Pelodiscus sinensis: one gene and its partner. Each later gene encodes a partner of the first gene's protein in a complex. Links are inferred from orthologs where the notes say so. Each region holds a gene or a part of one and is shown on either strand. Other genes may lie near its edges.

Region 1 (7,897 bases):
AGAACCATTTTTCTCCCTCCTCCTTGTGACACCCTTTCAGGTCCTTGAAAGCTGCTCTCATGTCCCCTCTCAGTCTTCTCTTCTCCAGACTAAACAACCCCAATTCTTTCAGTCTTCCCTCAGGTCACGTTTTCCAGACGTTTCCCCTTGTGGCTGCTGCCTGCGCTGCACCCTCCGGTTTGGGAACCCAGGGCTGTTTGTATTTGCAGGGGGCGAGTGAGATACAAGGGGGGAATATTCCGGCTTGGAGCCCCAGTCGGCCTTGGACTCCTCCCCCTCCTAAAGTGTCCAGCCCCTGGGCCACCACACTCAGCCTATTGCCAGCCTTTATTGTCCAGGGAGGAAGGAAAATGGAACCCAGGAAATATCCCTGGAACGGGGGGAAGTTGGGCGCCACCCCGCAGAGCTCTGGGCCATGGCGGAGGCGCTCTGCCAGCCGGCAGCAGTAGTAGGCTGGTAGCGTGGTATCGCCTCGCCCGCAGGGGGCGCCCTAGCGCACTCGGCTACTGGGTGACGGTAGCAGGGAGGGAGAATAGGGAGACGTGCCCCGGCCGCCTCCAGCCCCAGCGAGCGGAGGAGCAGGCTGGGCGCCTCCTGAGGGCCCGGCGGGGCGGAGTTGGTTCTGGGCTCCTGTGCCAAGCAGGTAACAGCGAGCGGCCGGTCCCCTGGTGTTGGGCGCAGGGTCGGGCGGCCAGGCGCTGCCGGGCAAACCCGCATCCCCGGCTCCGGGACCAGGCTGGGCATTGACAAGGACAAAGGCTACACAGCCCCGGACACCCCCAGCCCTCCCCCTCCTGCCCCGGCCGCTTGCAGCTCCCGTGCCCCATTGCCCCGCCCCCGAAATGCAGCCCGCTCTGGGGTGGGGCGTGGCAGCTGTCTGGCAGCCGTGCGCTGGCGGCTTAGCATAGGAAGGCTGCCTCCCGCCGAAAAGGCGCTTTCCCACCCTGATGTGGGGCGGGGGGGTTCTGGGTCTCGGGGGGCAAAGCCGCAAAGAAAGGCGGCTGTGGAAAGAAAGGCGAGCCCCCTGGCCAGGGCCCGGGGCGCAGCCAAATCTGCCCCGGCAGGGAAGGGGTTAGCTGGAGGCGAGCACTCAGTTATCCATGGGCACACCTGGGGGGGGGGGGGGCGCTGCGCCCAGCAGAGGTGAGGGAGGCCGGCGGGTGGGGGGGGTCTCTGTTGGCTTCGGGGGCTGCCCCCTGTGCGCTGGGGACGGGCGCTGTGTCCAGGAGCGCAGCTAAAGCACCGCGTCTTCTCCCAGGAAGGCTCTGACCCGGGGCTGGGTTGAGGCTGCCCCGGCCTCTGGGGAGTTTCGCCCGTAGGGTGGAGGCGCATTGGCTGGGTGGTAGGGGGGTGGGCAGAGTGACCTGGCGGAGACGGGCCCCACGTGGCTGCAAGGGGGGGACGTTATTGGAGTCTCCCCCTCCCAGTCTAGCGGCGCCCCGGGAAGGGCCGCTCCCAGGGCACCGTCCGCGAGGTGCCGCAGCCGGAGGGGGGCTGGGAGAGAGCGGCCAGGCTTGGGACAGGAGCCAAATTCCTGGTCGTGTGGGGGTGGGGACTCGCTTGGGTCTGGATAATTCCGCCAGGGAATCCCGGACACGGGCCCAGCCCTGCCCCGTGCCCCCTGGGACACAGCGCGCCCGACACCTGCAGCGCCAACGGGAGAGGGCAGGGTGGTTTGTTAACTCTGAACCCTAATGGGATTTCCCCCATACGTAAGCGCCGGGAGCTGTCTCATGCGGGTCGGCTTGGCACAGGCATGACCATTGGGTGAGAGTGGGAGGAGCTTGGGGTGGGTGGGTGGAACATCTGGCAGAGAGAGAAAATAACCGTGGCAATAGATCAGGCTAGGAATAGGGCCCTGGTGTCCTGCCTCCCGGGCCCCTTCTCCAAACCCCGAGCCACCTTTCCCTGGCCGCAAGGCAGGAGTCCCGGCTGGCCCAGACTGTCACCATTAGAGTCTGAAAAGGCTGCGCTCTTCCTCCATAACAGTGCCCTGAGCGGCAGGGGGAGAGCCAGGCAGCCCTCGGCGCCGTGTCTAACCCCTCGAATTCTCCTCCTGCCCCTTCCACGTCTCTGCTCTTCCCAGCCAGCACCTGCCACCTCCGATTGACACTCCCGGACCCCACGGGAGACTGTTCAGCTAGGCGTAGGGTGGCGCCTCACCCCACTGCCCTCGGGTGACAGACGCTCTCCAGCCCCACCCACACCTCCCAGGCGGCTCCCCACCACTCCCCCGTTGGGGCCTCCTACCACCTGCGCGGGGCGGGGGCAGAAGCAGCCATGCTGGGCAACTACGGGGCAGGGGACCCCATAGACAGGGATGCCCGAGTCAGTCTAAGCTGGCGCTGCCCTGCCTTGGAAGAGGCTTAAAACTCCGCCCTACCTCCCCCGGCGGCAGTCCTGGATCACTTCCGACGTGGGGGTCAGAGGGGCTATGAACGATCTTTGAACACTAGGGGGGATACATGGGGGAACCCTCAAAGCCAGACACGGTTTGAGGAAGAAAACGCCCGGTTTGTGTGGGCTAACCGCCTTAACTCTGCCCCCCGCAGACTCCTTGAGGTAGCTCACACTCACCTCGAGGGAAGCCGCATTGGACGGAGTCCTCCGATAGTGTGAGGGGAGGCGGTGCTGCCTAGTGGCCAGAGCAGCGGGCTGGGAGCGGGGAGACGGTGCGCTTTCGCCCCAGAGCTCCGTGCCTCAGTTTCCCCATCCGTAAAACGTACCGGGACGGTTCCCACCGCCCTTCCTCAAGCCCTCGGAGATTCCCCCCCCGACGAAACGTGCCGCGGCTGGTTATTAACAGCCGCGATTTCCCGTAATTCTCCAGCAGCGTGGGAGGGTTTCGTCACAGGCTCCCGGCGGGCCTTTCCCACTCGCCCGCTTCCAGCCAGGCAGAGAGAGGCTCTGGAAGAGACACCCCCGGGAGTCGCTTCTCTCCAATGCAGCCACCTCTGGCGTGCAGCCGAGAGATGCCGGCGGGGGGGGGGGGGTGCGGCGAGCAGCTCTTTGGCGAAGGCGGGTTCAGGCCGGAAGGCCCCTCCTGAGCAGTCAACTCCCCCCCCCCCCCAGAGGCTCGGGTCCTTAATGCCCGAGGGATTGCGGGGGGGGGGGGGGAGGGAGGAGGAAGAACCCGGGGCGGAATTCGCAGGAACATTTTTTCCAGCGAGGGGGGCTGGGGCACGGCCCAGCTAGTGTGAAATGGGAGGGGGCGGGGAGCTTGTGGGGGGGGGGGAAGGAGGGTGCTATTGTGTTAGCAGGTTGTATATGTGATGGGGTGTGGAGTGTGGCCCCTGAGCGGTGTGGGGAGGCTGTGTGCATGAATGTGTGTGATCGGAGGGGTGCGATGCAGTGTGAGCGGGAAGAGTTGTGGAGTGTGCCGGGAGGGAGGGAGGTGTGTGTGTGAAGGGGGGTGTGCGATGCAGTGTGTGTGTGTGTGTGTGTGATGTTAGGTGTACGATGCAGTGTGTGTATGTGAGTGAGAAGGGAGGTGTGCGATGCCGTGTATGTGTGTGTGTGTGTGTAGGGAGGTGTGCGATGCCGTGTGTGTGTGTGTGTGTGTGTGTGTAGGGAGGTGTGCGATGCAGTGTGTGTGTGTGTGTGTGTGTGTGTGTGTAGGGAGGTGTGCGATGCAGTGTGTGTGTGTGTGTGTGTGTGTGTGTGTGTGTGTAGGGAGGTGTGCGATGCAGTGTGTGTGTGTGTGTGTGTGTGTGTGTGTGTGTGTGTAGGGAGGTGTGCGATGCAGTGTGTGTGTGTGTGTGTGTGTGTGTGTGAAGGGAGGTGTGCGATGCTGTGTGTGCGGGGAGGGAGGTGTGTGCGCTCCTGCGCGTGTTACGGGAGTTGTGGCGAGCTGTGCGGGGCGCGGGTGTGTTGGCGCCGGGCAGCGCCCCCTACCGAGCCGCTCTCCCTGCAGCCTGCTCTGGGCCTGGGCCCCGGGGTGTCGCTGCTCTCCAGGGGCTGAGGTGCCGCCAGCTGGGGCTTGTGTGTCCCGGGAGCCAGGCGCAGCCCCAGGAGGGCAGGCGGGGCTGGGGGGGGGAGAGTCCTGCCCCCCGCCCCCGCCAGTGGGCGGCTCCGGGACTTCCAGGGAACTTGACTCAGAGTCCGCTCCGGCGCCGGAGGCACCAGGTTCCTGGACTCGATGACCCCTCCGGGTCCCTTCCAGTCCCACGGTTCTATGACATCCCGCCCGGCCCCGCGGCTGCCGCTCCCCGCGCTGCGCTCCCAGGCCAGGTGCCCTGCTGACCCGGCCCCAGCTCCCCCTCCCTCCGACCCCAGCCCCCTCCCAACCCCCCTCCCTCCGACCCCAGCCCCCTCCCCCGCCAGTCCAGCCCCCTCCCAGCCCCCTCCTCCGACCCCAGCCCCCTCCCCCGCCAGGCCAGCCCCCTCCCAGCCCTCTCCTCCGACCCCAGCCCCCTCCCCCGCCAGGCCAGCCCCCTCCCAGCCCCCTCCTCCGACCCCAGCCCCCTCCCCCGCCAGGCCAGCCCCCTCCCAGCCCCCTCCTCCGACCCCAGCCCCCTCCCCCGCCAGGCCAGCCCCCTCCCAGCCCCCCCCTCCGACCCCAGCCCCCTCCCCCGCCAGTCCAGCCCCCTCCCAACCCCCCTCCCTCCGACCCCAGCCCCCTCCCCCGCCAGTCCAGCCCCCTCCCAGCCCCCTCCTCCGACCCCAGCCCCCTCCCCCGCCAGTCCAGCCCCCTCCCAGCCCCCTCCTCCGACCCCAGCCCCCTCCCCCGCCAGCCCTGCCAGTGCCCCTCACTCCAGACCCGCAGCCCCTTTCTACCCCCGCCGTGGCTGCCCTGCCCGCTTGCACAGCGGGCTCCTCGCCGATCCCGTCTCTTCTCCATCCGCCCCGCGCTCCCTGGGCAGCCCCAGCGCCCGGCTCCTGGGGGCGTGGAGGTGCGGGGGGGGGGGCAGCCGCAGGCCCCGCCCAGCCCCTCCTGCCTTTAAACCGGGCGCCTCCTGCACACCCGCGCCCAGCCGGTGCAGCGGAGGTCGGGGAGCGGCAGGCGCTGGGCTAGGGCTGGGCAGCGCCATGCCCCGGGCCCGCAGGATGCCCCCGGCTCCCGCCGGCTGCCCCGCTTGGCTGCTGCTGGCCTGGCTGCTCCGGGTGCCGGGCTGGGCAGCGGCCGGACCCTGCCCCGCTGCCTGCAGGTGCTACGGGACCGCCTCGCTGCACTGCCTGGAGCCCAACCGCGTCCGCGGGCTCGGCCAGCTGCTGGGCGCCGAGAACTTCACCGACGTGTGAGTGGGGCGGGGAGGGGGCGACGCCAGCGCCCCCAGGGACCGTGCCATGGAGGGAGATGCCAATGCACTCCAGGGATCCGGGGGGGGGGGGCGTTGCCAGCGCGCCCCAAGAGCCATGGGGGGGGGGAATACCCGCATGCCCCCAGGAACTGTGACAAGGAGGGGGTGATGCCAGTGCGCTCCCAGGGACCATGTGGGGGAAGATACCCGTGTGCCCCCAGGGACCGTGCCATGGAGGGAGATGCCAATGCACTCCAGGGATCCGGGGGGGGACGTTGCCAGCGCCCCCCAAGAGCCGTCGGGGGGGGAGGCGATGCCAGTGCGTCCCCAGGGACCCTTGTGGAGGGGAAGATACCCGCGTGCCCCCAGGGACCGTGACAAGGAGAGCGTGATACCCGCGTGCCCCCAGGGACCGTGACAAGGAGGGGGTGATGCCAGTGTGCTCCCAGGGACCATGTGGGGGGAAGATGCCTGCGTGTCCCAAGGGACCGTGATGGGGAGGGTGTAATGCCAGTGCAGCCCTGTGTGGGGAAGAGCAGAGATGCCAACATGACCCAGGGACTGTGCCATGGAGGGAGGTGCCAATGCACTCCAGGGACTCTGGGTGGGGGGGCGAGATGCCAGAGCATCCCCAGGGACCAGTGTGGAGGGAGATGCCAGTGCGTTCCCAAGGACCGGGGAGGGGGCGGAGATGCCCGTTTGTCTCCAGTGTATGTCCGGGGGGGCATTACAAACAGGAGGCATAAGGCTGTTGGGGAGTGTGGATTGGGGAGGGGCGGGGTTGGGGTGCAGGAGTTCCAGGGGAGGGGGAGCAGGGAGGCAGAGGTATGCCGCTAGAGAGGGGACATGGGGCATTATGTGGGGGAAGCTCAGAGACGTGAAGGGTGCAGATTGGAGGCTGTAAGTGGGTGCGAAGGGCTTTGAACTGGCCTGTCCCATGCCTTGTGGCAGGCTGGGTGCCAGGGGATGGACGGGCGACAGCCCCTGGGAGGAGAGTGTCAGCTGGGCAAGGTGACCCTGTGTGCCACCTATGCCTGCCCCGGCTGGGATCAGAGAGGGCTGGGGAGACCCCACCCAGTGGGTCCAGGCAGGGTCAGGGAACCGCTCCCCTTCTGAGCTCCCCTGGTAGCACCCAGCCCTTCCCCATCTGGATCAGGGCAGAGATGGGTTTAGAACTGCCCCTGCGCATGGGTTTGGGGGCACTGGAAGGGGAATGGGGAAGCCAGCAGTGCTCTGGGTGGGTCGGGACAGTGCCCTGGCTCGGTGGGTGTGGCAAAGGGGGGTGCTGTTAGCTCTACCCAGAGGCCTGGTGAGATGGGGTCCAGCCTCAGCTCCAGGGGCTCTCTGGAGGGGTGGGGTGGGGGGCAGGAGCTCCGCAAGGGCTTTGCATTGAGCTCTCCCTGCCCAGCTTGGGAGCAGCAGGGGTCTGAGCACTGGGGGCTTGCATGACCCCTCCCCACCCCCATTTCCCTTCAGGTGGGCTCATGGAGCAGCTGTTCTCCAGGGGAAATGAGTTGGCTGCAGGAGGGAGCAGGGTCTGGTGGGTCGGAGCAGGGGGCTGGGAACCAGGACTCCTGGTTTTATTTCCAGGCAGCTACAGGAGGGGCAGGGAGGGGGAGCAGTGGGGCTTATTCAGATCCGGGAGCTGGGACCCCTGGAGGGAGGAAAGTGGGGGCGGGGGAGGACGACGCTGGGCTGTGCACAGGTTTTGGGGGGGGGGGAAAACTGGCCCAGAACTGGAGGAAATTGAGCAGAGACCCAGTCTCTACGCAGTGGCCAGCTCAGTCCCCGTTCTCGCCAGCACCCCCTATTCGATCCCACTCACCCCACTTTCTCTATGGCCCCTCCATCTGCCCCCCTTGGCTGGGCAGCTGCCCCAGTCATTCCCTGGCTGATGCTGTAGCCTGCATGATTTGCTTTCCCCCTATCCTGTGCAGGCCGGGGGCTGTGCTCCTGGGAGGGCTCCCTCCCCCCGCCCCGGTCCTGCGTGAGCAGGAGGCATCAGTGCTGTGCCCCAGGGAGTAAATGGGTCTCGCTCCATGGGAGTTGATGGGGCAGGTCCCCAGCTGTGGCCAGCCCCAGCCGGCTGCTGTGTCCGGATGGGGATCCACTGGCAGAGGGATTCCCCCTTAGTGCCAATCAGCCTGGTGCACTGAGCAGCGCGGTCAGACCTCCCCTTGAAGGGCGTTGGCTGCAGGGCTGGCGGGCAGCAATGTGTCTACATTAGCCTCTGGCACCTGCAGGCTTAGGTGGCTCTGCCGAGGCTGCTCTCAGTTTGCCCTGAGCGGGATGGGACAGGGCAGGAGGCAGGGTTCCCTTCTGCAAAAAGCCTGCGACCAGGCCTCCAAAGAACCGACTGGTGGTGGCCACGTGGCCTTGCAGAAGGTCTTGCCCCTCCCCTGCCTCAGTGTCCCAGTCTGTGCACTGGGAAGGACGTGACCCTAGCCTGGGGCGGTAGGGGGAATGTTTATGGCGTGAATGGGTTAACATCTGCATTGGGTGCAGATGGGCTGTGGGTCAGTGGGTGGCTGTGGGTCAGTGGGTGCCTCCCTCCCCAGGGAGTTGGACAGAGACCTGCCAAACTCCCTGCGGCCGGGGGTGCTGAAGCGTGTTGCACGGAGAACAGGGGCGTTAATGTCCAGTTTGCTGGCCCAGCT
Region 2 (5,266 bases), on another chromosome or scaffold:
GGCAGGCACGGCATCCACGTGCTTTCCCCTTGCCTCCGGATAGCCCAGGCAACAGGAAGAACAGCAAGCCATGTCCTGGGATGCATGGCTGCTGCCTTCCCTGCTCTCCCGAAATGGCACCCTTGGCTGCCTAGCACTGCCATCCTCGCTGGCTCCGCAGCCTCCTGGCATCACGGCTTTGTGGGCAGCCAGCTGCACCGGAGTTTGACCGTTAATCAGAACCGATAAGCATCGGTATATCGGTTCACCAGTTAAACTTTTACATCCCCTGCTTAAAGCGAAGCGTGTGCTTTCATGCTTTGCTGTTCTTCAAGGCCAGTGCCCAGAGTGTCAGAGACTGCTGTGCTGCAGAGAACTCCTATACTGTGAAACCAATGCAAAAAAAAAAGGGGGGGGGGATCATTCAAAGAGCCATGTAAGCGAGCTTCCAGCTGGATGCTTGCCAGGCCTGTCCCCAGCCTCTTCTAACAACAAGGAAAACTTATTTGAAAGCTTATTTTCTGAATTATTATTGAAATGGATACTTTTCTTCTCTAGCAGAACCCAGAGTAGGCTGCACCGAGACTCTTAGCTGTGCAGTCACACTGGCCTGCCTGATGGCATGCTGCATCCAATTTCAGCTCAGCGTCTGGAGGCAATAGAGACCTTGCCTGGGAGCAGCTTTCCGTTCAGTACACCCAGAGGTAAGCACAGTAGGAACCTGACCACATCTATGTACACCAGCCCCCTGTACCAGCTGCACCAGAGGAGAGGTAACAGAATAAACAAGTCATGCACTTGGCCAACTGCAGAGCAAGGTGTGAAAATAGCAGATCTTTTCTTAGCTCAAAAGAGTGATCAGTTTATATTCTGAAGTTGGAAGAGCAACAGACTGTATCATTTTACTTTTGCCTGTTTACTTGCACTTAGTATTCTTATTTGGTAAGCACCAAATTTGTTACGGCTGTTAGTGATTTCCCCCAATAATATCCTGTAGCAGGGAACTCCCAGGTTAACTCAACAGATCCCTACACATTTTGATTAGTTGTCTTTCAATTTCATTGAGCCCTCCCACCTTCTTCTAGCAGCTTACATCATTTATGAGACATGTTTACTGATTGCTGTATTCTAATGATGGTTCAGCCTTTCTGAAGTCACATCTGTTTGTGAGGACCCACATGGCTACATATGCAAAGAAATGTCCCTGAATTTCATGCCTACAAGAGGCAACTCCTTCCCTCTCTGAAGTTCAGATACACTGTAAACATTTTCAAAGAGCAGCACCTAGGCATCAAGTACGTACTAAGCGTGTGAATGGAAGAACAGCAGCAGACCTTGTGGAATGGCCATTTCTGTAAGCAAATCCATTTTCCACACACTTCAAGCCCTGCCTGGGCTTTACATTTATTTTGCACATTCAAGAAATTGCAGGTGAAGTGCACATTGCTTTCATCCTTCAGCTTCCATGTCCCGTAAGCAGATAGAAAATATCCAGGTTTGAAAATGCTTTCTCAGGGTTAACATATAACTACTAAAACCGCCCAAACAAACAGCTTTGTTCTGTGACTCCTACCTCACACCGTGCTGCCTGCTGGTGAAGAGAGTTATGGAGCAGTTGTAAAGCTGGGAGGGAGAGGGCTGCGGAGATGGTTTCAATTTAGTGGTAGTAGGTTTAAAGCACACAGTACAATGATGTTAGTAACTGTGTAATCAAAGGAAAAGGGCTTGAGGAAGACAGATAAAGGAGTTTTTAAATGTTGCTGCATTTAGACTAGTGAATTCTGCATCACGCAAAAGCAGAACACAGCCTTTTATTGGCCTCACTAAGCTCTATTTCCTATAGAAGGAAAGTATAAACAAAGGGCCTATATGTAAATACGTTTCGTTGAGGCTGCTGAGGGGGTGTTTAAACTACGTCTGGATTTCGTTCTGCAGACCTTTTTCAATAACAACTCTATTGAAAAAAGAAAATTCGTTAGCGATGTTGTGAGCCATCTGATTTTAATTTGGAGCTGGAGAACTGGAGGTTACTCGTAGACTCACATGGCTACAGTTCTACTCCCACCTCCAGATTCTGTTTCCTTGCCCAGACGGTGCCTGTATCTCACAAACGGAATGTAGGAAGAAGGCAGCCTCAATTCTGCTCCGAGTCTAAATGAGGGCACATGTTCATTGCAGCAAGACCTGCCTCTCTCCAACATTCAATCGCCACTTAATCCAGGTTGCTCAATGCACTGAGAAATGCTCAAGTAGCTTTTGGTCTCTCTAGCTCCTCTTATTGCAGGGACTTTAGCATCATTACTGCTTCAGTAACTCCTTCCATTTGGCATCTTTGGCTCACTTCTTATGTCCCTCAGATCACCCAGGCCTACAGAGGCCCAGCTGGTCAGGTCTCGCCAGCTCTTACCTCAGACATCAGTTTTCTTATAGACTCTTGAGTTGTCCATGAGAACTAGTAGCATGAAATATTAACTAGTATTCTAGTAATCCTCTCCATTTTTGACTAGTGAAGGCTGAGAAGAAAGAGTGGGAAGCTTTAGTAACAAGTGACCCATGCCCAAAAAATATTAAAACAGTATGGGAAATCAGAGCTCAACTGCAGAGTTTGAATTTTCCCCTGTGAAACTGTTTGTCCAGTCAGCTTGTGCCTGCCAGCCATGCAGAGAAATCCAGGGCCAGCTGAAACATGTCAGGCCAAAGAAGCCACTGAGGGGAGCAGTCTGGCTTGACAGTTTTTTTCTGTTTATACCCAGTCTGTACTTATTAGTGCTTCACAAGGGAAACTGAATGTCTGCCCTTAAGTGCATTTTCAGCTTATGTTTGGACTGTCTCTCTTATTCATAGGATGTCTAGTACTGATTCATTACCTAACACTTGTCTGGATTCCCTAATGCAGCTTTCACTGTCACCGAACTTGTGGTATAATGTTATTCTTGGAGAATCTTTAGAAACTGATTTTACATTTTTCAACACCCAAGCAGATGTACAAATTCTCTAGGGATGCAATAGTGGAGTCGATTAACTGACAAGCAGAAGCTTATCGGTTAATGTTATAGATTATGTGCATTTCCCCCCACCCTTTGCCAGTACATTTTTTAGCAGGCTGGCCAGCAGCCCAGCTCACACTGGGTCCTGGACTTACCCCAGTGTGGCTCTGCATTTAAAGTGTATTAGCAGCCGTGCGGGCAGGCAGCCAGCTCAGTTCCAACTCACGCCGGGTCTGGGAGCACAGACCCCTTCATCCCAGACAGGGGCTGCCCAAGGACTATAAAATAGTCGAGTAACCGATAAGAATTCATGGAGGTTAATCGACTATTCAATTAACCGATATTTAACATCCCTAGTATTCTCCAGGTTGCAGAGCAACAAACTTGTTTCTCTAGGCGTTGTCTGTGGAACCTGTACTTGCTCCTGGTTTTCAGAACAAAGGAGGGCATTTCTCTACCCATAAATCCCAGGTCTGTAGCCACAGTGGCTCCCAAGCAGCAGTAGCTATTGTCAAGGAGCCTGAGAAAAATATCAAAGGAGATTTCTACTCCAGAGAACACCCTAAGTCTCCACATTAATAACCCCAAACAGGTGCTTCATATACAATGTTCTGATAACAAATATGAAAGGAATTCATTATAATCCAGCCATTATTTCCTTGTATTCCTACTTTATTAAGCACATTAATGCTGTTTGAAAGTTTTTCTAGAAGAACATCTGGGACCCACATGAATAGCTGATGAGAGCTGCATGATCTGCACTGCAATGCTGAATAGCCAGCAAATTCACCAGCATTAGCAGCATTAGAGCAGTAAATACCCATCCAGGTCCGAGTGGGCCTCTCTCAAGCAGCACAAGTGCTTTCAGGTGCATGTCACTCGTAGTAACCCTCAGTTTCTGTTTCATTCTAGGTGCATAGCGTAATGTCCATGCTGTACTACACTCTGATTGTAGCTTTTTTGCTCGGCATACAGGCAGCACCAAAGTCAGAGAATAATGCTCCAGGGGGGTTTCCTGCAGGACCCACCATTCCAAATATCCACCGGACTAAAGCCAATCACATTGCCAAGGCGGCTGCACACACAGGAAACCACAGCCTCGTTGAGAAGGCGGACGACGGAGACTCAGGCCAAGCGGCCAACATCACGGTGGATCCAAAGCTTTTCAGGAAGAGACGATTCCGGTCCCCTCGGGTTCTGTTCAGCACACAGCCCCCGCCACTGGTAGGGGACGGCCAGGACATGGAGTATCTGGGAAGTGGAGATTCTCTTAACAGGACTGTCCGAACCAAGCGGACGGCTCATCCCGTGCTGCACCGCGGAGAATTCTCAGTCTGTGACAGTGTCAGCAAGTGGGTTGGGGACAAAACCACAGCAACAGACATCAAAGGCAAAGAGGTGACGGTGCTGGGAGAGGTGAACATTAACAACAATGTCTTCAAGCAGTACTTCTTCGAAACCATGTGCAGGGAACCTAAGCCTGTTTCCAGTGGGTGCCGGGGGATTGATGCTAAGCACTGGAATTCCTACTGCACCACCACGCACACCTTTGTCAAAGCACTGACAATGGAAGGCAAGCAAGCAGCCTGGAGATTTATCCGAATTAATACTGCCTGCGTGTGCGTGCTCAGCCGGAAAACCGTGAGACCCTGAGATGGAACAAACCATCGCACCCACATGCTCCCCTCCCCCCTACCTCAGCCTGTAAATTATTTTAAGTTATAAGGACTGCGTGGTATATTTATAGTTTATACAGTAAAGAACGAACCTCGCTATTTATTAAACTTTTGGAAACTCGTTTTGTGTGATGCATTTAATTTAACGATGTAACACTCCTTTGGGGAGATATTCATCTCTGCCTTGTGAGCCACACAGCGTGGCCACTGAGCGCACTGTTCTGTGAAAAAAAACATTTTGCACTTTCCTTCCACCCTCCCTCCCCCAAGCCAATTTTCACAAGCAAACCTGCCCTTTTCGTGGGAAAATCTATGGCTTGTTCCAGAAGGTTATGTTCTTTTCCAACTCATGAAAGTATAAAAAAAAAAAAAAACACTAGAAAAATATAGCTGGGTTTACTCCCATTCTACTAGTCTCCAAGGGGTAAGCTGTGTTAGTCTGTAACTTAAAATGTTTTTAAAAAACCAAAACAATCAGTGGTCCTCTATATTTTTGTTAGGCTCTAAAGTGCTACAGGCCCACTTGTTTTTTTCCAGTTTTGTCCCCATTCTACTAGTCTGTCATTAGGATTCTGAGAACTGTTGGTGCAACATACAGTGATTTTTATACCACTCTGGGCATTA

What was found. The genes of interacting proteins can lie anywhere in the genome.
Region 2: the proteins of NTRK1 (region 1) and NGF are in contact, whole or in part, in a crystal structure (PDB 1WWW), measured with the Homo sapiens proteins. The link is inferred for Pelodiscus sinensis from reciprocal best matches to the Homo sapiens genes NTRK1 and NGF. Residues at the interface, in NP_002520.2 of Homo sapiens: His291, Val294, Glu295, Met296, His297, Cys300, Pro302, Phe303, Ser304, Leu333, Glu334, His343, Gly344, Cys345, Arg347, Thr352, His353, Met379, Asp380, Pro382; in NP_001424474.1 of Homo sapiens: His125, Pro126, Ile127, Phe128, Arg130, Gly131, Glu132, Phe133, Ser134, Ser138, Ser140, Trp142, Tyr173, Phe175, Arg180.

What each region holds. Positions count from the first base shown.
Region 1 is NC_134734.1:18,100,925-18,108,821, forward strand, and holds the start of NTRK1 (high affinity nerve growth factor receptor), read left to right. Parts: upstream 1-4,885; 5' UTR 4,886-5,028; coding exon 5,029-5,237; intron 5,238-7,897. UniProt on the Homo sapiens protein: Receptor tyrosine kinase involved in the development and the maturation of the central and peripheral nervous systems through regulation of proliferation, differentiation and survival of sympathetic and nervous neurons.
Region 2 is NC_134737.1:178,114-183,379, forward strand, and holds NGF (beta-nerve growth factor), read left to right. Parts: upstream 1-3,890; coding exon 3,891-4,619; 3' UTR 4,620-4,763; downstream 4,764-5,266. UniProt on the Homo sapiens protein: Nerve growth factor is important for the development and maintenance of the sympathetic and sensory nervous systems.